Linked DNA regions of Lepisosteus oculatus. The protein of the gene in region 2 purifies or fractionates together with the protein of the main gene of each other region. This does not show direct contact. Links are inferred from orthologs where the notes say so. Each region holds a gene or a part of one and is shown on either strand. Other genes may lie near its edges.

What was found. The genes of interacting proteins can lie anywhere in the genome.
Region 1: the proteins of cdh31 (region 2) and plekha7b purify together in Homo sapiens (co-immunoprecipitation; 3 studies listed by BioGRID and IntAct, with this or other methods). This does not show direct contact. The link is inferred for Lepisosteus oculatus from reciprocal best matches to the Homo sapiens genes CDH1 and PLEKHA7.
Region 3: the proteins of cdh31 (region 2) and ctnna1 purify together in Homo sapiens (affinity purification with western blotting; 10 studies listed by BioGRID and IntAct, with this or other methods). This does not show direct contact. The link is inferred for Lepisosteus oculatus from reciprocal best matches to the Homo sapiens genes CDH1 and CTNNA1.

Annotation. Positions count from the first base shown.
Region 1 is NC_090716.1:10,984,955-10,992,767, forward strand, and holds the start of plekha7b (pleckstrin homology domain-containing family A member 7), read right to left. Parts: upstream 3,006-7,813; 5' UTR 2,968-3,005; coding exon 2,885-2,967; intron 2,761-2,884; coding exon 2,684-2,760; intron 2,521-2,683; coding exon 2,463-2,520; intron 1,943-2,462; exon of another isoform or gene 1,846-1,942; intron 1-1,845. UniProt on the Homo sapiens protein: Required for zonula adherens biogenesis and maintenance. Acts via its interaction with CAMSAP3, which anchors microtubules at their minus-ends to zonula adherens, leading to the recruitment of KIFC3 kinesin to the junctional site.
Region 2 is NC_090715.1:9,220,887-9,228,903, reverse strand, and holds the start of cdh31 (B-cadherin), read right to left. Parts: upstream 3,011-8,017; 5' UTR 2,921-3,010; intron 632-2,920; 5' UTR 396-631; coding exon 345-395; intron 1-344.
Region 3 is NC_090706.1:36,611,338-36,619,277, reverse strand, and holds the start of ctnna1 (catenin alpha-1), read right to left. Parts: upstream 3,006-7,940; 5' UTR 2,986-3,005; intron 2,916-2,985; exon of another isoform or gene 2,810-2,915; intron 2,511-2,809; exon of another isoform or gene 2,453-2,510; intron 1-2,452. UniProt on the Homo sapiens protein: Associates with the cytoplasmic domain of a variety of cadherins. The association of catenins to cadherins produces a complex which is linked to the actin filament network, and which seems to be of primary importance for cadherins cell-adhesion properties.

The DNA of each region.
Region 1 (7,813 bases), on a different chromosome or scaffold from region 2:
TCCCTCAGTACCAACACCAGAGCCAGCACTGTTTGGAAGAGTAACACAACGGACAGTAACATCACTGCAAACTCACAGGTGCACCATCATCAAACCAATGGTGCACCATCATTTTAGCAAGCCCTGTGAATGGAACAGTCACTTACTAATGGCATAACCCAGTCATTCCTAGACTATGGGGAAACATGGAGTTAAAACAAACAAACAGCATTACTTTCAATAAAGTCAGACGTACCAGCATGTCTTTGTCAGACTATCAGGGCAAAGACCTGTTTTGCAGAACAAAGACATACCACATTAATGCACTACAACCCAGGATTGCAGGGAAGCCAGTACCTATCCCAGCGAACAATGGGTGCAACACAAGCTACACCCTAGACAGCATGCCAGTCCATCGCAGGGCACACAGACACAGGGCCAATCTTCCCAGAAGCCAATGAAGCTACCTGTCTGCTGTTGGACTGTGGGAGGAAACTGGAGCACCCAGAAGAAAACCACGTGAACAGAGGGAGAACATAGACGCTGATCGTACCCAGGTCAGAAATTGAGCCCAGAGCAATGCTACCCCCTGCATTACTGTGCCACCCAATACACTACCAAACAAATTCAAATAACCTGAACAAGCCATTGAACCACAAATATTCATTCTGCCAATTAAAACGTGCTTCTACAGTAGCTTAAAACTTGGTACTGTTCCAGATGAACTGTACTGTTAACACTGCTAATGGACTCGAACAATGCTGAAGACGAGAAATTGTTTCTGGTGTATGGCACTTCACAGCTGTCTCATTCGGATCCAGCACTTGTTTCAAATGACCCACAACAAATATTTACCTCTGTAAAAATTCATCAGCCCCCAGAGAAGAACAAACACAGAAAAACATCCTCTGTTTATTTGTGGATTTTTCTACGGTGCCTGTTCTGTATGAAGAACAAATAAAAGTATTCACTTCACTCGGGTAAATCCGATTTCTCATTTTATAACAGCTAAGGAAAAAAAAGACATTTTTAGCAATATGTGGAATAAAAAAATGCAGCGTCATTTGCACTGTTACAATTGTCAGCAACGGTATAATGAAAACATCTCAAAGGAAAACAGAGCTACAGAAGCAAGGAGTAGTTTTTTTTTTACTGTACATCATGGGCACAGTGTCTGTCGACAGCTTGCATCTCACATCACATAAATTCCCTCAGTGTGTAATTAATTCAAAACTTTCTAGTCGGCTTCACTTTTCTGTTAACTGTATTATTCCCTGCAATGAAAACTAAGTGCTCAGAGCCGGGTGCTATTTTTATACCCAAATGTCCTGTATATCAGAAAGCTTTTTTCCCCCAAGAATGAAATATGTGTCGCAACAGGTTAGTGTTTGCTAATGAAATTAAAATATCTATGGGTCCCGAGTTCACTCAATCCAGACAGTATCTTGCGCAATAGTGCATACTAATTATTTAGTCAGTATTCATAATATTCATAATAATTGCACTGCATTCCTCCGTTTCAGATAGCCAGGAAATCGTCATGATAGCACGAATCAAGGACTTCTTAAACTACATTTCTGCAGTTCCATACACACTTGTTTTTGTGTCCCAACTAAAGGCGTTGTTGAACTTCACATCAGGGTTAAACGGAATGGCTATAGGCAAATAAACATTGTCTAACAGTTGACAACGCATTCATTTATTTTACTAAATATACAAATAATAACTAGTTAGAAAAAGTCACAAACGCTTTTTTAATAAGCTGTACCTAGCTGTTTGTTAGTATTCATGTTTATAAATACTTGCGCCGAGCTGCTACATTGTTGTTTTCATACGCTATACTCGGAAGTTTTTTAAATGTATTACCTCAGAGCAGGCAAATGTAACTTTCTGCCGCGTAACCAACATCAAATGTATCCAACGTTTTAACAGCATTTGTATCCGACACAGGGAACTGTCCAGTCTATTCTAACTCCCCTGCACAATTTTATACAGAAAGAACTCCCCAATGAAGACGACTGTACTGCACAATGCCACCACAGCCCAAACTACAAACTTGATACGGGAACTAGTTGCGTTGGTATGGGTGAGCAAAGGAGTGATAAATCTAGACTTTGAACCACAGTTCACCCCTTGTGTTTAACACGGCCGACAAGCAAACTTGCGCTTTCTCCTTATAGCCCTTCATGATCACGCACTTGAATTGCGGTCGCAAAGTACAAGACAATACTATTCCACAAACTACAGAAAGTGAAAGTCAGATATAACCAGGAGGACCCCCCCATCTTTAACTCTCATTCATTACGCTAACACCTTCTAGGTAACTGATTTGAAGCCTGAGCTGTAACTTGAAAACATCTTGAATGCAACAGGTTGCAAAAACATATGCAGTCGCTAATCGAACAGGGGCTTCACAGCTCTGATTAGCGACTGCATAAAATTGAAATTCCCAAAACTTGCGCAAGATGAGAAAGTACACTCACTTTATAAAATAACTGGCCCCTTCTTCTGTAAACCCTTCTTCCCATCCTCGCGGGAGATCTGGAGATAGAAAAGACCCAAAACATAAAATTGCTTTTACGCGTCGGCGAACTTTTGTTTCTTTTGGTTTCGAAAAGGTACGTTCTGGAATTCTATCACTCTTGGGAAAAGCCCAATCCTGATTTTAAAAAAAGCCAGGTTTCTGACTTTTAACACAACATACCTGATCGTATCATATGCCCCGAATTGACAGGTTCACCAGTTCGAGGATGAAGCCAAGTCGTGCTTCGAGTTTCATCACTGTAGGGGAAAGAAAAAACAAAACACCTGTTACGGAACAAAGAAGTCCAAGAGCAACTGTCCAAAGCAATCTGTGCAGCGACTCCTCGTATAGCTTCCAGGCAGAAGAAAAGTGCACGCTTACTTAATGAAAAACACCCTTCCGTCTTTGCAAACTCCATAAGACCAGTGTTCAGGTAAAGTATCCCGCCCGAGCGGAGCCGCCATGATCTTGGTTTGAAGTACTATTTCATTCTCTTCTCCGTGGAGTCTCCAGGGAATCCGAGACTCATTAATCACCACTAGGGCCGCTGCGCTCTTAAAGGGGCAGGTCTGGCTTTTTATGGTTGCGGAGAGTAGCAAGTCTTTGCAATCTTATTTTCCCAGCCGACAGAAAATAACTTGTTGGAAAACCGCATTCGGTTCTGGTGGATGGCGCGGCGCACAAAGCCAGTTACTGCCACCACGAATTGTAATTAGGGAATTAATGTCGCAATTGAACAGTCGGAACGTATGCTAAGGGATTTAGCGTTAATACCGCTAAAAATCTCTGAATTGTAAACATATCGCTGTCAAAAGTCCTAAAGCAACAAGGGCATTAAGTGGGGGGAGTTCTGCAAAATGTACGGTATTTAACTGGGGCACTAAATGTGAGGTTCAGATCACAATATACAGACAGAAGGATATTTCAGTAGTTGCGTGTCACTGCTGATCCAATAAGCGGCTTTATGCAGGCGAAAATATAGATAAATGCAATTCATTACAGGTCCAAGCCTCTCTTTTTTCCGAATTGAAAGAGGAAGTATTTGTATAGTTGAATTTACTATTTCAGGTTACCAAATGCAAATTACACACCAAAGCTATCGAAAGCTAGTTTCTCTGCAAACATCTTTGACACACAAACGGCCAACCTGGGTGAAAAAAGTCATCACCTACTTTACATACCTTTCCAATTATTAGGAATAGAAAGAGTGTAGTTAAACAGTAAACCGCTCAACGAATTCAACAAACACCTCTGAAGAACGTTATGGGAATTATATCCTGGTTTCTTTTAAATGCACCTGAAGGTATACCTTTGAATTTTATGTCCTTTGTCCTTTGTGTTGCTAAAAGTGTTATAAAGCAAAGTTCCTTTCAGTTAGAGACTGCAGTCAGTATCAACAAAGGAAAAAAACATCACTGTCAAGCTATTTTGATTTTTCCCTTATTGCGTGATTATACTCGGGGTTCAATCAGATATACAGTAGGTAACACAAGAAAGGACACTCGTTTCTTTGATTTCAAAAACCTAGAGACATAAAACAGCATTTGAAGAATTCATGACTGAGATACTGTATATATATATATGGTAAAAGGACATCAAAAAGGCTGGATGTAGAACAAGCCAAGAGGAAAACACTGTAAACTCTTTAAAGTTAAAGATGTGTGTCACTGACAGGAAAGATGAATGACATTGTATGACCCTGAAAAAGTTCAAGGACACGATCAAATTAGGTGAACGGCAAGGTTATGTTTCTGGTTTAAGTTATATGAAAAACAATTCTTGGAGAAATAATTCTTCTTCCAAACTCAAACTGGTATTTTTGTCACTTTATGACCAGTTAAAGTTGAAAAATGTTTGCAACAGAGTATCCTAAGGGTCCTGTAAACAGAGATTTCTACGCCATAGTTTTAGACATGAACCCCAGTTGTATTATACTCCTTAAAGTAACATTCATTAGGGGTTTATTTTGTGAAAAACATCATCTCCTTGACAGCTTAAATAGATCTATTTTTTAAAGTACTTCCAAAACACACAGTCAGGCAGAAGCAACGATGTAATACCATTCTTTCTATGATCTCATTTGCGTTTCACTTTGATGTTTCCCTTGGGAAAAGTAATGCATTTGGGTGCGTATCTCTTTTTATACTTACGCTGTTTTATTATTGCTGCAGATAAAGAGTCATTTTTAAAGCACTAACATAAGCCGCCTTGATTTCTCAGAATAGCTCACATCGATATATGGCACCAGTCCTATTTATAGAGCTACAGCTCATCTAGCATGGTGTGTGGGGTGGAGACACGAGGCAGTGAAATACAGATAAGTTTGGGAAATATTTGATGCTGTCTTCCCATTCATCTCTAGGACAAAACGAAAATACTGTACTGGAAAGAAGGAGAGATTTATTCAGAAACCCTGATGTGTATACAACTGTGCTGGTGTGAACATGATGGTTTAGTTCAGGCAGGTGCTGCTCATCACAGTGTGTTCTCTGAATCACACTGGTGTAACTATATATGGAGGAAAGTGTGGAGAGCAGCTCAGCATCTCACCTGCAAGGAACAGGCAGAGCAGAGTTGTCCAATCCTGGTTCAGGATAGCCACAATCCAGCAGATTGTATGAGTCTGCCTTAAAGCAAAAATAATTAAACTCTGGTGAAGTTGTGCACTCTTTACTCCATGTACTTACATTTTTATCGAATCAACATTCTGACATCAGGGATGCCTTTATCATTTGATATCATATCCTGACGATCAATCCATGCTTGATTCATTACTGATACCTGATCACCCTTAAATCACCAATTTCTAAAACACTTTAAACAATTTTGTTTGGACATCTTAAGCAGGTGCGTACAATTCGATAGTTTAGAAAAACTGAAAAGCTGCCAACACTCCTTAGCTCTCGAAGATCACAGCTGGACACTCATACCTTAAGTTCCATTCATTCATTTTCTGAACCACTTTATCCAGAACAGGGTCTCAGGGTAGTAAGAGGCTAGCCTGGCAAGCAATAGGCGCAATGGGCACCCTGGATAGGAGGCTAGTCTATCGCACGGCACACACAGACACACACACTCACTTCAGGGCCAATTTTACAGAAGCAATACACTTTTATTTCCCTGGACTTGCTGCTAGTCATCAAATAGCCAGAGAATATAAGATAAGAGTGGCAATCTTCATTTTGTGATAGCTAGAATGCTTGCAGTTTCCTGTTTTCTAGCTTGACCTTACTGCAGATATAGAAATCTCAGATGGGCACTTTCTGATCTTTTGTCTGCCCAAAGAAGGGCAGAGCAAGGTTGTCAAAAACAGGAAACCCAGAAGCAAATGGCAAAATGTTACTGGCTACCTCCTTTAATTCTAAAAAAACCCAGCCATTTACAGTCTGCCACTGACATAAGGTTGAGCTTATAAAGGGCAGTTAGTAATCATTCCATAAATACCACCAAAAGGCTATTATCCATCAAAACAATTAGAGACCTGTGAAAAAGTGGATTGTAATACACAGATTTTCCTAGCACACAGTTTTCTCAGATTCAGAAAATGCACTAGTGTTTATCAATGCATTCTATCCCTGAGAGAGGTCATTTTCTGCCTTCATTTGTGAATGGTAAGAGACATATGTCATTAACATATTAAATTAATTTACCTCATTAATTTAGGATAAGACATGCCCAGATAATGTTGTAACCAAAGCTGCCTCATTCACGAGGACTATAGCCAAGTATCTTCACAATATCACTTGGGACAGAGATTTCTTGGGACCTCAATGCCAGCTGTTTTTGTTCCAGATGAGCTCTCTGAATTATTTCTTCACAACAGCATGATGTTGGCTAAGCAGCATTGGCTCATTATGTCTAGAATCAAAATCCTGTGGGATAGCAGTTTAAATTTCACCCAGCTACTGTGTAAGCTCCTCAGAAAGAGAAGGTGATGTGCTGCCTGCACACACACAGACGAGAAAATGACTGTCAATGTCTGAATCAAATTCACAGATGACATGCTGATACCCAAGTCTAGCCTATAACCAACCAATCTGATTAATAATAAACCTGTGCTGAACACTTTAATCTGGGTCTTTGTTGGAGTGGAAGAGACTACATTAAAAAAAATCAAGCATAACATAAAACGCAATAATGGTCCAAACTGTTATGTGTCAATAAAGCAGCCCTGTATTGCTGTGGATAATGAAATAGATTTGGAAAATTATGGATTAGGCATGAACAGGCATGTGGAAACTGTGTCCATATTATTAACCATGACCTTCAATATTGTTTGTTTTCTGCAATCCCAAAGGACAGTAAAGGTTTTCAGCCATGATCTGCTATACAGTACATTGCAATAATCTTTACCCTGCATCATGGTTAACTGCCCAGTTTTCTGATGCTATCCTGTAATTTTAGCCAGACAGGGGGTACAGTGCTGTGTATCTCATGTCACTGCACTTTTCATAATTGAGGTTAAAGGAATGATTTTACTGGCAGATAAAGTGTACCTGCTTGTCCCTCTTCTTTCCTTCAAGTCACAGTTAATGTACTTTTGTAATAGGATTGCCATTTACCTCTTTATGGCCTTATGCCTTTCACATTCTTTATAACTCAAATTTCTTTTCCCTGCATTATTGTAGTGCTTATCTTGGTTTAATTATATTATAAAATTCAGTGCAGTATTTCTGAAAAATCACGCAATTAACTACAATGACAGATCATTGGGTCACTCTCAGTGTAATGAATATTCTAGTGGATATATGATATCCAAAAACTTCTTCTTCTAAGAGAAAAAAAAACAATTCAGTGAAAATCTTTGTTCATGGATAGGAGCTAAAAATATATGGATGGGCTTAATTTTAGTATAAGTAAATAACAACTATTTTTTGAAAAGTGCAGAAAACAGCTCTATAATAAGGCCTATACCATCAAACATCAGAGTGAGTAAAAAATATATCCCACTAAAAATCTCCAAGTAAAATAGTAAAGAGTGACAGATATTTCTGTCTGGTTTGGACAGCAACGGTTTTTTTTGGCAATGCACGGCTGCAAATGAATTGCGGTGACTTTTGATTTAATTAGCAGCTCTCTATTAAGCAAAGATTTGAGGGTTCATTTAAAACGTAGTCATTTCCATTTAAGGATTTTTATATTCTGTCCCTTATCAAAGTGTCACAGTAAGTGTGGAGATATATGGTCATGGATCATTGTGGTCAGTCATTTATTTATTTGAAGACCAATAATTAATCTGGCTGCTTTGTTTTTAACTCATTCTAAGGCGAAAATTTACTTTTTGAATCACAGAGACCAAAACTGTACATG
Region 2 (8,017 bases):
ATTCTGAAAAGGTAATGCCGTATTTTAAGAACTTTCAAAATATTTTTTCTGAAGGCTTTTTGGTGAAACGTTTTTATTAATAGATTTTCTTCTAGGATTGCTTTAAAAGGTAGCGTTAAAACAGAGCAATCAGCAGGAAGTTATTACAGGCTTCATAATTTTTTAATGTCGACTGATCTACGTTATATGAACACATTGAAAGGATTTTCAATGGGTCTAAAACGCATAAATACAAACTACAATATCGGATGCTTTAAAACCTACGTGCTGTAAGAACTGTTATACTGGGTCAAACGAGATTTCTTTGTGGATCTGGTCGTTTTCAATCAAACACGAAGACTTACCTGGACCAAGAGAAGGATTACTCCCAGCTGTAAACTCCTGACACTCCCCATCAGTTTGAAAGGTTGTATAGAATCCCTTATTTGCAGCCCAAATCTGTTGATTATAAATCCTTAAGAGTCTTTCAACCTTGTGGAAAGGTGTGCTTCCTTCAAAACAGAGGCTGCAACTGCGAAACTCTCGGTCCTAGGTAGTTTCGAACATGCAGTGACGTGTACAGGTGACCTCGCCCATCCCTTCCTTAACGTCTCCGGGCTCCAATTATGGGCATAGCTCCTTTAATCACCACCTGCCAACAGGTAGAGGGTGTAAATCTCCGGGTCCTAATGCTAATAAAGTTCTCAAACAGTGAATTCCCCCTCTTACAAACGAGGATACACCCATACATTTATGTCACCATTTTTATTTCTGGGAAACAACGGATTAAACGCATTTCCTGATTTTAATCTTAATTTTATTTCCCAGTATTAATTCAAAAGACCCATTGCCAGAAATGAAAAGACAATATATATTGAAACACCGCTTTTCGAAATGCCAGAATATAGAGGCATATACAGTATTTGCGTGTAAAAGAGCATTGTGCAAATTGACAAAAAACACTATAAATCAAACTCAAGTTTTATTTTTATGTAGATTTCAGGATATCTTTTCACATCGTCTAGATAACGAAAAATACTACAATGATTTCCCTGATTCCCTCTTTATATGGTCCTATTTGTGACGGTACAAATTAACTAATTCTTAATGGAAATAAATGAATTGTCACCTAAAAACTGGTTAAACGAAGTAACCACATGTAAGTTCTTATTTTAACAAAGTACTTTAAAGACAGCTGTAGTCAAAAAGTATGTATTACAAGGCAGAGATCAAAAGGTTCTCATAATCTTTTACTCTGTGACATTGAAACCCTCCCACTTTACTACATAAAGTAGCTAAGACCATTTAAAAAGATTAATTTAATTCTATAAATATTTAATTACATACTTCAAAAGCCAAATTTAAGCCAAAGACTCTATCATCCCTTCATTGGTTTAAGTACTTCCATCCATCCAATGAAGGATTCTCTAGGTAAAACAGCAGTTTTGAAATTCATCACACAAACTGAGAATCCTCTGAGGCTGTGAAATACAGTCTATATACTTAGGTAACACATTCATGAAACTATCGAAGGAGAAAACAAACCCACTGACAACATCAAGGAAGAAAAAAAACTCTCCTCATGGATGTCTTTCATTTACTTCTTTATTCAATTAAGGAAGCACTTATAATAATGCATAAAGCACTTCCAGTTGTACATTTTCTCAAATGCTTGTATGAACAAACTGATCTCTTTCTAATCTCATTTGTAATAGTGTACAATGATTAAATGGCCTCTAAAGTGCCAGATTTTCTCTTCCAGTTTCACTCATTGGAAAACAGAACTAATTTCTTAGATTTTATACCATTTTGGAACCCCTAAATATTGCTATCAACAAGCTGATCCTCGGTAAACTAACATAACAGAAAGTTCCAGGTTTAATAAAATATACTTTAATGAATAAACCTAAATCTGCATTGCTCAATGACTGAAATAAGAACGCTGAAGTCACTGAAAGGGACACTACCTGTTTGTGTGTATTTTAAGATATGAAGACAAAATTTATATCAGGATAACACTCCTCATATTGACATTCTTCCCTTACATTAAGAAAATCATAGTTTGCTTGGTCAGTTTCAAATCTTCACCACTTTCTGTTAGAGAACGAAATGTAAATGTCTGTTGAAGTTATTCATTAACAGGCTGGACCTACCAATGTTAATATTGTACTACCAGCCAGATGGCAATAAAACATTCTCTGAAGTAGTCCCTTTGGCATTCTTTTATAGAGTTGTTCACAAATACAACATTTTTTGTTAATATAACTGAACATTTAAAAAATTGATTTATTGGTGGCTCATCAGAAACATGGACAACTAACGTAGTTATTCAATCAATACATCTATTAGAATTACTGCATTATAAAGGAACCTATACAAATTATACTACTTAATACCAACAACATACAACCTAAATATAGAACCTAATGCAGTGCTGAACAGATGTTTTTAATCACTTGGTCATGATACTTCATGTGCTAGGTCATATATAAAGAGCAGTTGTTAGAGGACAGGATCATTTCTGCAATAAATACATAAAGGAAATACATCAAGCAACATTTTGCAATTGTCAAACCAAGAGACATTACAAAAAAAATACAAAATGTTTCTTGCTTTCCTGCCATTTCAGAAGCCATTTCATCATCACATACAGTTAGTATGAAGCAATCCTCTGAAGCTACCCTTGGACACCTAGGATGGAAGTAAACACACCCATCCATGTTTACTTCCTCTCAGGTTCTAAAGAAATACAGATTCAAAATGCTGTCCTAAGGCCAGGCAACATGAGCCTTACATATTATTCCTACCCATCTTTTTTACTTTAGTAGCAAGAGTAAGATGTTGTTTCACACCCTTAAAATGTCTATTGTTGTGAATGATATGAAGCCTGTCAAAATTGCAAAGAAATAAGTTCATTAATAAAAAATAAGAAATTATTTACCTTTTCTCAAAACTGGTGAAACAAAGTTTTCTGAAGGCGCTCTTGGCTTACTTGCATAGACTGTACACATGAAGAGAGCATATGTATACTGACTTCATTCTGCACACAGTACACTGAATAGCACTATTCAGCTTCTCTTCCTGGTGGCAGACCCTCGAGATCCTAGAGCCTGCCCCATTCAGAATTGGAAAAACCTAGATTGTTGTCCATAACTAGAAAACTGTTTTTCACTGACTTGGTGCTAATTAACATTTAGAGTAATATGATACAGGTATTGAGCATTCTCTAAAGTATTACAATGAATAATTAACACAATACAAATGCAGCGTATTCTATATTTACTTTACGGATGTAAAGTATATGACGGAATATGAGTTACCCTTTTAGTGTTCCATTGTAAAAAGGACAGGTTTTTTGCAGGATCTAAAAATATATGGTTATTTCAGGTGTTTCGTGTATTTCACTTTGTTAGTGTTTTAAAAGTGAAATAAAACAATTTACCCTTTTGTAAGTGAAGCACATATTTCATCAAGATTTTCAAAAGGAATGTTTAAGGAATACCTTAAACATCTTGTTTTATGTGGTTCTTTTATACAAAACAAAATAAAAGGTCAATATTAAGGTGAGGAAAAGACAAAATAAGAGTCATGTCAGCACAGACAAGCGGAGATGCAGGCATTGTTGCAGTACTTAAACTAGGCATCAGTTTTAGCACAACTTTAATATGCATTTAACAGATATACTGTATACATCTTCAAGCTTTGAACATGCTTCAACGTAGCAGCACTGTATACTATCATAGTGAAAAAATGAAAAACATATGCCACAGTAAAGCAATAACAATTATAATTAGAATGTAATTCTTCCATGTACAGTACCACAAGCCAAATTTTGTTTTCAATTAATATCTATAAAGCCATAAAGCTCAGACAAATGAAAGGCATACAGCCTCTGGGTATAGACGTTTGATATTCAGTTTTAATAAAAAAAAAACCTAAATAGATTAGATTTAAAAACATTTTTCTGCCTATATGTTATTCTCCTCATGAAGTTCTCCTAATTGTCATAAAATACAACGCATCAAGTTTTTATTTCATTTTTAATGTAACATGAAATTCAAATTAGACCAAGTGAGTTGACCTTTTGTTTCTTGTTTCTCAAATACAAAAAACGCCTTTCTTTCCAACATAAACTGCCAGACATACCCTGCCACATGACATTGTATTTTAGGTCTTCCTTCTGTATGCATGTTTTGTAAGAGATTGTGAAAATCAAGGTGCACTTCATGCACAAATGAAAGCTTTAAACTTAATGAAGTTGTAACATCATTATTTTTAAAAAGCTAAGTAACATTTTTTATGATTAATTGGGTTTCAGTTGTTATTTTAAATGTGTATTATATTTAATCATACATGTTTGAATAAGGCCCAAACATTATAAAAATGTAATAAAGCAAAAAAGAACATTAAACAGAAAACATTGTCTGCCACAATAAGGTCTTCAAATACTTGCAGGAAAAGCTGGAAAGAAAAAGACGTATATTTAGTATTTACTCAACGTTCCCAGAGACTCCATGGAGATCCATTATTAAAACCCCTATAATGCAGCAGAAATACCTATGTATGAACATTTCTTCATAGTGATTGAAACCTTTTCATTATGGCTGGTTTCCATTATTTGTGATACCTAACAGTACTCTCATCACTTTCTTTTTGCAGTATAAGTAACTCTAAAATACATTGTTTTGACCAGAGCTTGAAATACAGGATAATAACCACTGTACAGTAATTCACCACAAACATACAATATTATGTGATATATTGCATTTCAGATTACACTTAACTCACGCCAAACCGAGAAAAAAAAAATCACTATGGTGGTTTGGGTTTACCCATGGAAATTCAAAGTAATCCATCCATTGATCTTCTAATAATTTGTTCCAGTTCAGGGCAGCTGGAGCCTAACCCAGCAAGCAACAGGCACAAGGCAGGGTACATGCTGGGCAGGACACCAGTCCATCTCAGGCAGACACAAACAGGCACCACACACTCTCAACAGGGGCAGTTTTCTCAGAAGCCATTTAACCTACCAGTATGTCTTTGGACTGTGGGAAGAAACCAGAGCACAATATATCAGATGAAATCCAGGCACAGATAGGGAGAACATACAGTACAAAAGTCACGCAGATATAACCCCTGATCAAGAACTGAACCCAGTGCTACAGGACAATAATTCTAACCACTGTGCTATAGTGCTGTCAATTCAAAACAATATATTTTTTTAATTTCTTCACCACTCAGTTCAGATTAATATTTGATAGTAAAGTCAAACGTCTTTCATCAAAGGAAAACTGGGGAGGTTTGGATCCTAGATATTTAGAAAAAAGATATTCTTGTCATTTTTCAACTGTGCTGTTTATCAAGGAATCCCATTTTGCTTCAAACAAGAGCAAACTCGCAGTTTTGAGCAATACATCTCAAAAACATATCTTAATATATCAAAAATATTTTTATTTTTGTTAATTATTAATGATTTTTAGATCTATTGACCCTTTATTACCACCCCCTATTTTCTTCCACAAATCAATCCACATTAATTTTAATGGTAAAAGCTCATCCCATGAGAATCAGATTAGTTTTGACTTTTTAAATGCAGTACAGTTTACCGTCAGGGAAGCATACTGAGAATGTTAAAAGGCAGCCACTGTTAGAAAAGACAGGTGACTTTGTGAAGACAAAAATATGAATCACAAGGTCGTATCAGGCTTGTTTTAGAAAGATGTTTGCAATGATTCAACAGAGATGATGTTTTTATAAACACAAAATTATAAAATTAAAGTTAGGAGTATACATATCTTACCTTATGTAACCTTTAGTTTAATAAAACCTTTCTAACAAATGTTTATCGGGGAGCATGCACAGTATTTTGGATTTCATGTAGCAGATGTTCACCTAACTGTCAGTATAACCTGTTTTTTTTAAAAACAAATTGTGAAGCATTTGAAACATAAACATGAATAAATAAACACAGCCAAAATGGCTGACAAGTTCCCTTTCATACTAGGTGTGGTTTTGAACTTCAGTCCCTAAAAAAGAAAAAATATATATGTTTAAGCACATGCTGTAAAACCTGTTATCACCTGTCGCAGTCAGTGGTTGAAATAATATTGGGTTTCACAACAATGATATAATCATTAGTGTTAGTTTCAGTTTTTCATAGGAGTGCCAGATGTTAGTCTTAAAAGGTGTATTATTAAATTTAAAGAATGTACTAACATCTCAAAGTTTATGGAATATTAAACCTCTGCTGATGTTGAGGTCTTGTGAAGTGAAACTCCCATCGGGTTAAACAGTGGGTATGATTATCCATTACATACTCTGGAATAAAAAAATGCAAACCAAAGCAGAGGAAGTAATTTTGCCCTCCTAGCTTGTTTCACTTTTAGTAGCTAATTAATCTGGCTTGATCTTATCCAGCCATTTCTTGAAATAAGCAATGTTGGGTAGAATGTTCTAGACAACCACAACCATTCATGCTGCCTTATGAAGACTTTTTTTGATAGTTGAACACTGTTAATTATCAGAAGCGGGGAAAAAGTAATTAAGGTTATTTTTCATAATCTAGAGCATGATCTGTCATTGGATGATTGTACAGTAAATCAATACTGTATTTATTCCCAAAATGGCATCTCTAGCTGCTCATTCTGTATTACTCCTGCAATGTAAAAATACAAAGAATAAAAAAAATCTAAATGGTATGCTTCAGTTTCCTTAACATGCAGTATCAGAATGTGGTTTTGTATTTATAGTGGCTGTGATTCAGAGGCAGCACATTGTGGATAGACCCTGTGGCCTTTAAATGCATCTACAGAGGAGGTTGATCACAAGGTCTTAGTGTGATGGGTCAATGACACAATCCAGGGTGTAACCAGGATTTTTTTTTTCATTTAGGAAGAAAATGTTTATTTTAACCACTTTTGTACCTCTGAATCTAACCTCTTAAACGCAGTATTTTCAACGTGCATTATAATTCATATACTAAGAATATTAGTAAATGGCTAAGGGCACTCTTAAGAAGCAAAATCTTCTCCGGAATTCAAAATCTTGGGTCTCAGTAACTTTGCTCAGTATAAAACCAAGCCCCAAGAAGGAATGCAGAAACTACAAAGAAAAAAGTGTAGTGTCTTGGTTCCATACCCCTTAGGCATGCAGTCCATACAAGATGAGGGAGTGGAGTGCTCCCCCACCTCCCAACAAAGGCCAGATGAAATGCTAATTTCTCCAGCTACCTAATAAAGACAAAGAGGTTTTCAAACACCAGACTACACCCTGTCCCGCCAAAAGAAATTCAATCTTCTAGCGCGGTGTAATGTCACCACAACACAGTTAATGTCACAACACAGTGATTAAGCACCCATCATTTAGAAAAATAAAAATCTACACCTAACTGGATAATTATGTATATACAATAACTTTTAGGGCATCGGAATATATCACAAATGCATACGTCAATCCTATAAAACGTTTCCAGTCCCAAACACCTCTAACTTTAAAATAACAGAAGGATCAATTTTGTCTTACCAGCGCACACATTTTGTATTATCACAAAATAAACGTATATACAGTATATATACTGAAAAAAATATATAGGGTACAGTCCTGACTACAATAATGTCGTACGCTTTCAAAGCTGATATGACATCCGCCGGTTTAAACCGAGACAGCTGGACAGCTGCGAAATTAATAATTCATCGGAAAGTGTAAACACATTTAAATTTAACGAGCGCAGTTTGTTCCTCTCTGTAAACCGGAGTTAACACAAACCTGGCTTGCTAACCGAGCAACAAGACAGACTAACGGCCTGCGTGCGGAGACGACCCTCCTCCATTTAAAAAATCAGGTTCAACCGCCTCACAGCGGCACCATACTGTACGACGCAGAGCGTTTACTGAAACGGATATACGCGCTATTGTCAGTGTTGTGTTAAGACTACCAATAGTTTTGGTACTGCTGCTGCTCTCACAATACCCTTGCACAAAAGTAAGTGCCTGCGTCATACTGTATATTGATACGACAGGGGACATGCAGGGTGCTGGGT
Region 3 (7,940 bases), on a different chromosome or scaffold from region 2:
AAAAAAATGCCACCCTGATTTATTACTTAGGATAAATTCAGAAATTGAACATTCCCACCTCTTAATTTCTAAACGGATTACAACATAAAAATGGAACTTCATTTATTCCGTTTTTGAACACACACAGGGAGCAAATTAACCCGCTACACAAAAGTCAAGCAAAGATATTCCTGATACAGAGCTTCCACATCTTAAATACAGGTAGGCTACACAGTGCAGTGAAACAGGTCAATTTAGGAGCAGTGTAAAAAACCAAGGCTTGCCTTAAATCACAAATTGGACCCTCCCACCCCCTTTCAATTTCAAACCTACTAATCGGTTGTGGACAGTTATGGGCAAACCAGACCCTTCTTACAAAATACCACATCGGGTCAGAGCCATCTGAAATTCATTTTAGGTAGCTAGGTTTGGGTCAAGTTTGAATATTGGCCCAGGTATTTCCATAAGTTTCTGTTGTCTTAAAAATGGTTTATTATTGTAACGGGATGAACCAGGACACACTTTTCTGCAACATTTGTAACAGCCTCCAACCTTCCCCAGACATTTGATTTGAAGACTTAAGTCTGCAAACTCTATTGTGGAGAAGTACTCCAATTTATCAGAAATTTCCTTTGAACTTGACAAAAGCTTAGTCAGGTGTACGTTTTTAGCCATGTCTTACAATAGTCTTTATTATTTTATAAATGTTTTTCAAGTTATTGTTCAGAATTCAATTTAGAAACAAGCGAGAGGGCAGCAACTTTAATATAAATAACTTTCTAAGAATTGATGAGCATTCACAATAGCCACGTTTTATCCAGATAAATCCCACGCTTTCAAAACCCGATTAGCAGTGACAAGTGTTAATAAACAGGAGCTATGATTGCAAATTGAACTAATTAAAAGACATTTAGTCGAAAATGTAACCAAATGTTAGATGTTTCTATTGTAATAAAGCCAGACTTCGCATTACACACAGGAAAAATACTAGACAGGTGGAGTCGGTATACAGTCCATCACTCCTTTATTTACTGAAAGTCTCGTAAAGATTGTTAAATACCCTAACGCCTACTTGCCTAGGAAGTATGTAAAACTTTTTCAGTCTTATTTCCAATCGCTAAATTTGATACAGAAGCAGCACGGAGGACTGTCAGTATTTTGTTCCGAGTTACTTTTATTTTTAAAACCGTAACTACGTTTGCAGCCTTGCTAGAAGTGATTACACCGGGGACACTCAAATTCACCATCAGTAGAGGGTCCGACTTAAAAACCACCCCTGACCACCGAGGCTGGCCTGATATCGCAGCACCCACAGAGCAAACACTGGGCAACGGAGGACGATACTGAAATTAAAGGACACGGTATATCGGGAAACGGGAAACCCAGCATTACTACGCGCTTGGGACAACCGGAAGTTCTTGCCTAATGAGTGCCCAGCCCAACCCTACCCCCACCACGAAAATATACGTATATTTTATTTTCTGGGAGATGTGGCGTATCTGGTTTGGTTCGTCTCAACATTCAAGAGACAACAGAAGTACAAAAAAAGACAACAACACAGGTGGTAGCGGCTTGGCACATTCCTGATGAAATCAGTAAAAAGGGTGGATCATTCCCAGATTATGAAGGGCGGAACACGGACCCGACCAGCATGGGAGTATCCTGGGCCATGTTAATTTAACTTTCAATCGCCCTGGGGTGCAGGCTCGAAACAGAACCGACGTTCGTACAGTAACCAGCTCAAAACTTTAAAAAAAAATAACACATAAGCTAAGGGAACATCATTACATAGTCTGATGGTAGGGCGGACCTACTTTAAAAAGACGCACGAAAGTTCATGCGATTCACACGCTGGTCCTTTAAAAAAAATGGGAAATTTGTACAAATTCATTGCTTCGCTTTTATTTTTAAAAAGCCGCAGGATAAAAAAAAGAAACAAGTCGGAGGCAGAGCGTGTTTCAACCCTGTTGAGTAACTTTTTTAAAACTCATGCTGTGGTTAAGTCTGTGCTTAGCATGTTTTTTTGGGGGTCAAAAAGTAAGAACTACCAGCATTCCCCTAAACTTAAAATGAATACTAAAACTTACAGGACGTGATCTGAACACACGTAAAACGTGACTTTTAAAAAAACACTAATTTAGTTTCCCTTCTGAAACTTCATTACTTTTAGGCAGGGCAGCCCTGAAATGAAATGGAGAAGCCATTCTTCCCCATAAACAATTAAGTCAATCGTGCTTCTAAAATAGACTTCTTATGCTCACATTTCGAATTACTGTCGGAAAAGATACAACGGTGCTTAATGGGAAAGGTTTTTAAGCACACAACGCTTAGAGGAAAGCTCGAATAAAACGGTGAACCCTCCCAAGTTAAAACAGTCAAAATGGATGAACCCTGCCTATCGCGTTGTTTTCAAAACAAACGATTGTGTTGCTCTTTTCTAGCTACAATTGTTCAAAACACGATTCATGCGTACCTTGAAACACACGCCGCTTCCGATGTTGCGATTTTTTTTTCCCCCCTGGAACGAAACCCTAATGAACAAAAAAAGTTCAGTTTTGAAGTTTTCGTGAAAAGTTTTTTTTTTTTTTACTCCGTCGTTTTATCCCTCCCGTTCGCCCGTGCTCCTCCGCTCCACCAAACTTCCCAACTCCGAGAGGAAATGGGATCAGCGCGGCTGTTACACGCCACTCCTACGCTGCTGCTGCTGCTGAATCCCTGAATCACCCTCCCCAGAAGAAAATAAACTTCCGAAAAGTCAGCTAACTCGCACCTTCGCCTACGTCGTTTCTTATATTCGGGATAAAACGTAAAGAAAAAAAACAAGCCCTACCTTCTCGAACTTTATCCAAGGTTTTTTTTTTGGCCTTTTCCACGTAGGGGGCGGGGGGGGGTGCTAACTCCTTCCCGGAATGGCGAACACACAGGCAGTGACTCGGTGACCGACAGCGAGGCGCCCACACCCAGGCGGTCAGGTGTGCCGGGGGAGTGGCCGAGCTCCGCGCTTACCTGCGGGCTCCCGCGATGACGTCTTCTCTCCGTCCCAGGTGTCTGCAAGTCGCGGCTCGCTGCCTGGAGTTTGCAAGACGTGTTTTGTTTGTTTTACTGTTTTTGAACGCTGGGTGCAGTTTGTCTGCGGGAGTGAGCATGTTCTGTTTCTTTTTTTTTTTGTTTGGTTTTTTTTTACCTTCCGTGCTTCCAAACAGCCGTGCACTCGACTGTCAGGCGTGTGTGGTTTAAATCCCGAGGCCTTCTCGGTTTTTTATTGTGATGTCGGAGGTTCACAACTCGTGATTCCCGTAGACGACAATAAACCACCGAGACTTACATAGGCTTGTTGAACACGACGCTTTTAATGCACTTAAAACTTAATCGTGTAGGAGGACTAAGCAGTTTAGGGTCAGTTTCGGCTAAACGTCTGAATTGTGTGTGATGTTACGTCATTTATGTGCTTTGATTATCTTCATTGAAATGATTTGTGATTGTATTACTGAGTGCTAAGAGCCTTTAGAAAGAAACCGCCAAAATTCATATTTAAATACCTACAAGGATTAAAAGTGCTCGTATGAGATACATTTCTCATGTTTTATAAAACGTGTGCATAATTACATCCTGAAGCCAAAATGAGCTGAATAACAGTTTAATACTCAATGCTATTCCTTATTTTGCAAATACGTTTCTCCCTGCCACACCGATAAGATAAATGAGCTCTGAGAGAACTCAATCTGCTTCACCACTCCCTCCATACACAATCACCCTCCACCCAAAACGTTGCATGTAAATATATTAGATGAATTCCTGAGCTTTACAATTACACTGCACTTTTTATCAGTACTAGATCCTCAGGCATTCTTATGTCAGCAAATAAAAGCTATCTCTGTAACTACTGAAATGCAGTTTCCCTAAGGCAGAAAACAAGATATCTATTTCGGCAAACTGCTGGATATTCTCAGTAGTCTGATGACCTGAGGCACGGGAGGAGAGACTCTCAATGCTTAAGTGAATGAAGACGCTAAGACTAAGAACATCTGAGAGAAATAAAAACTTTGCAGTAGTTCGTTCTGCTAATAACAATCTGATTCACAAAGGTTGGATTTTATTTTTTTGAGAAACTAAAATAAAACACTTAACGGGAGGAAACAGTTAATAAATCAAAGTTGGAACTCAACAATCAGGGGAAACTGGAGGAGGAGGAATCAAGCATATGGGTAACTGTCTTCCCATGAAGCAACACTGTATGATAAGGCAGGTGTTCATGAGTCACTGCAGTGGGAAGACAGAGTTACATCACACAGAGCCTCTAGCCTCTTACAGAGAGTGCGTTTATGAGAACAGAAGGAGAGTACCTGAGAAGCACTGTAGATCTGGCAATAGGGCATAAATGATTCAAGTTCTTTTCTTTCCTGTCTTACATCAAAGGAGGCTTAAAGAGGACAAATGACATCTTTGTTCCGTGTTCATAGTTCTTGCATTTTCATGGCGAGAACTATGTTTAATTGAAGCTTTTTTGTATCTAAAGGGATCACCAATTATGAGCTGTTTCTTTATCCAATCAGTTTATGTTTCTTTTTTTACCATTGCGGGGAGGCATTATTCTTTAAATAGCCCAAATACTTTATACACACGTCAGTAAGAGGGTTGAAACTACACAAGTCCTCCTTTCTTACAGCCTGCAGTAGCTTTTGAAGGTGTCTGGTCCAAAGGAAATTACCAATTATCTCTTTCAAGAAACCTCTATTTTGAAACCTGTCAAGATTGTTCATTTACAGTACAGTGTTGGTTCCCTGTGATACTGACGGAACTCAGTTGGTTTTGATTTTATGCATTATTTTGCTTCACAGGCCTCCATTCTTATGAAAGAATAATTTCATGTCTGTTTCGGCACCGAAAGCATGTTTATACAAGTCATGACCTTTTTGCATGAGAAAAACCGTGTCTTTGTCACAGATGCTTATAGTACACAACCAGAAAGCTTTTGAGACGTTCAGAAGCTGGAAGACTTTCTCAGCTTATTGTACTACAGTACTTATTTTTGTAGTAAATTAGTGAAACAAGTGAATAGTACAGTCTAACTAGACAAAATAGAGTATAAGTGAGGTTGTGGCTGTATCTTTGAAAGAGATCTACAATCTTGCTGCCTTGGTTGCTTGATTTATCTAGTGTAGTTGTCTTTTTTATACCAACTTCAAGTCGGCAACATATTATTCTGCCTTTTCTTAATTTTATTCCACCATATTCTAAAACCGTTCTATTCCAAGCGTATTATCTGCTGTAAAACTGATTTTAAAATGTTGCAGGCAGTTCATGTATAGCAAGTAGCAAGTATATAAAGAATCAGTCATTAAAGCCGACAAATTCTAATATAAAAATTTATTGAAGTGTTCTACCGAACCTAAGTGTTTATTTAGAATTTTATGGAGTTAGGGCAGTTATAGACAGTATAAGGATTTTTAGGAGCTAACATAAAAATAAAAAACAAATAGATATAGAGCACACACATAAGAGGCTTGGTAGAAATGATATGTTAGAAGGAGATGGCTCTACATAAAAATTAATCACTGTATCTGTGTTTTTTCCTTCTTCAAACATTTGCTCCTTTTACTATGTAATATGGTCATTTCTCATGTCATGTTTATCTGTGCTGGAGAAGGTTGACAGCTTTAACAATTTAATTACGCACGGGCATCTTTTTCTCAGGTTGAAATTATTGTCACATTTAATTGTCTGCTCCATTTCTACAAATAAATTTACATAAATAAATTTAAAAAGCCAGAAGCCATAGGTCGTAATACCAATTAAGGACTGAAGGCAAAACAGTGGCATGACAAAATCTAACTTCGACATCTGTGGATGAAAGAGTGTATTAATAGCTCAGACATAATGATGTGGGAACAGGTAAAACACAACAATCACTTTGCTTTTGCACTGGATTTAGACAATTCGGACTGAAGCAATAACCTCCTATTTGAATGAAAATGGTTTATTTTGAAAAACATCGTTGTTATCTCAATCCAGCATTTGTTTAATGTAAAATATATAATAATTTGCTGGGTATAAAAAAGGCCTATTTTAAATAAAGAGCTACTGTATGATGTAAACGCTAAGAAGTCTACATTGCTTATAAAGAAAATTATAAGCAATGTATATAATTTTACAATAACTGATTATAGTACCATTCAGTTTCATTTTGCTTTAAAATCAGTTCCCTCTGCATGGCTTGAGTCAACTAAGTTACAATGAACTGTTTCTCACTATCTCATTCTGATTAATGAGGAACTGAAACTTGATACCCCCTGTAAAAACAGCTATTCGATGCATTCAGGATAGGGGTTTAATGAGGACAAACTTCACAATTACATGGGTGTGTAATGAGAGTGCATGAGCACTGTAAAATGTGAATTTATTTAATGTAAATAGGTTGTATCCTAGTTTTTAAAAGGGGCTTTGGGTTGTATAATGGAAAAGGGAATATTATTCCACCCAAGTAAATTGAATGAATAGAACAGTATGGAGTTGAAAATTCCACTAGGATTGCTTTAAATTTCATCTGAAATACAAAATCGATATTATATAAAAGCACACTCCAATGGATTCTTTTAGTTTTGTCTGAAGGTGTTCTGTCTGTGTTTAATGGGCTCTGGGCTTCTGAATCTCAAATGGTCTCAATGGAAGCACCACACCCAGCTGACAAATACTGAAAGCCATTTACAAGCCGCTTTGAAATTCACTGTGTCATCAAAGGCAGATTCGAGTCTCATCAGTGCAGTATTTCATACATCTGTATAATGAAAGCTGCGTGCAATTGCTTTGTAAAATTAGTGAACTGATTAATAGTGCAGATGTCTATATCAGGGAGTATCATATTTGAAAAAAATCACAGGAGTACTTTTCTGCAATCAGGATGCATATGTTCCTGTAGTCTAGTAGCTTAGTATTTTCTGTGGTCTCAAATGCATAATACCTGTATTTGTGAATGAAATCCTCCTTATGTCTCTTGCTTAATAACACATGATGTTTGAACAGTTTTCATATCTTCTTGAAAACCCTGATATGTAGGCTAAGAAGCATGCTTTTTATAAACTGCTAGAGGTTTACGGTTGTTTTGTGTTAATGTAAAATACCTTGTAATGTTGTGTCATGAAAGGTATTTTTAAAAATAAAGATCATTACAAGTTATGAAGGCAATCCTACTCGCTCTTATTCTTTGATCTGTTCTTTATTAAAAATATTGTCACAGGCTGAAGATGTTAAATGGAGAATGCAGGCTACTAAGCTTTTCAGATTTTATGTGTGGTAGATCAAGCATCGGTTAACTAGTTTATTCCATTCAGACCACATAAAATTATTTATGTCAGATTGCAACCATGATCTTTTTTTTTGTTTTTTGTTTGCTAATTAAAGAAATTTGAACAGTTTCATAACAAGATATATATAAACTTCCTGAACTAAAAATCTAATTCTAATTTAACTAAACAATAACAGGACTTCATTTAGATTTTACAAGACCAGGCTTTAGATTTTTAATAGAATCCTAATCACAGCAGATTCAAAATTTTACAGAATCCTTGGTCAGGCTCTTACTCTTACTAGATTAAATAGAAGTATTGGGGCTTGTTGATCTCATTCCTTCTATGATGGGTGTTTTATAGTGAAATGGGTAAACTATCGAACTTATAACAGGTTATGACAGGTATTGCTGTTTACCATTAAGTGAGGTACAAGCCAGGTACCACAGTTGTTCCTGTCCACCCAGTTGCAGAATTGGAGACCAGTAACGCACTGTCTAGTTTGCTTATCACTACAGCAACCAGGATGAGCTCTGCACAGATGAGCAGCTATGGGTGTGGTCTGGACTTTACATTTTTTTTAGTTCTGTGATGTCACCTGGAGGATGAATCTTTGTGAGTCCATTAACATGGCACTGACTGAAGCATCAGGTTTACTCTCGAAGGCTTTCCTTCCAA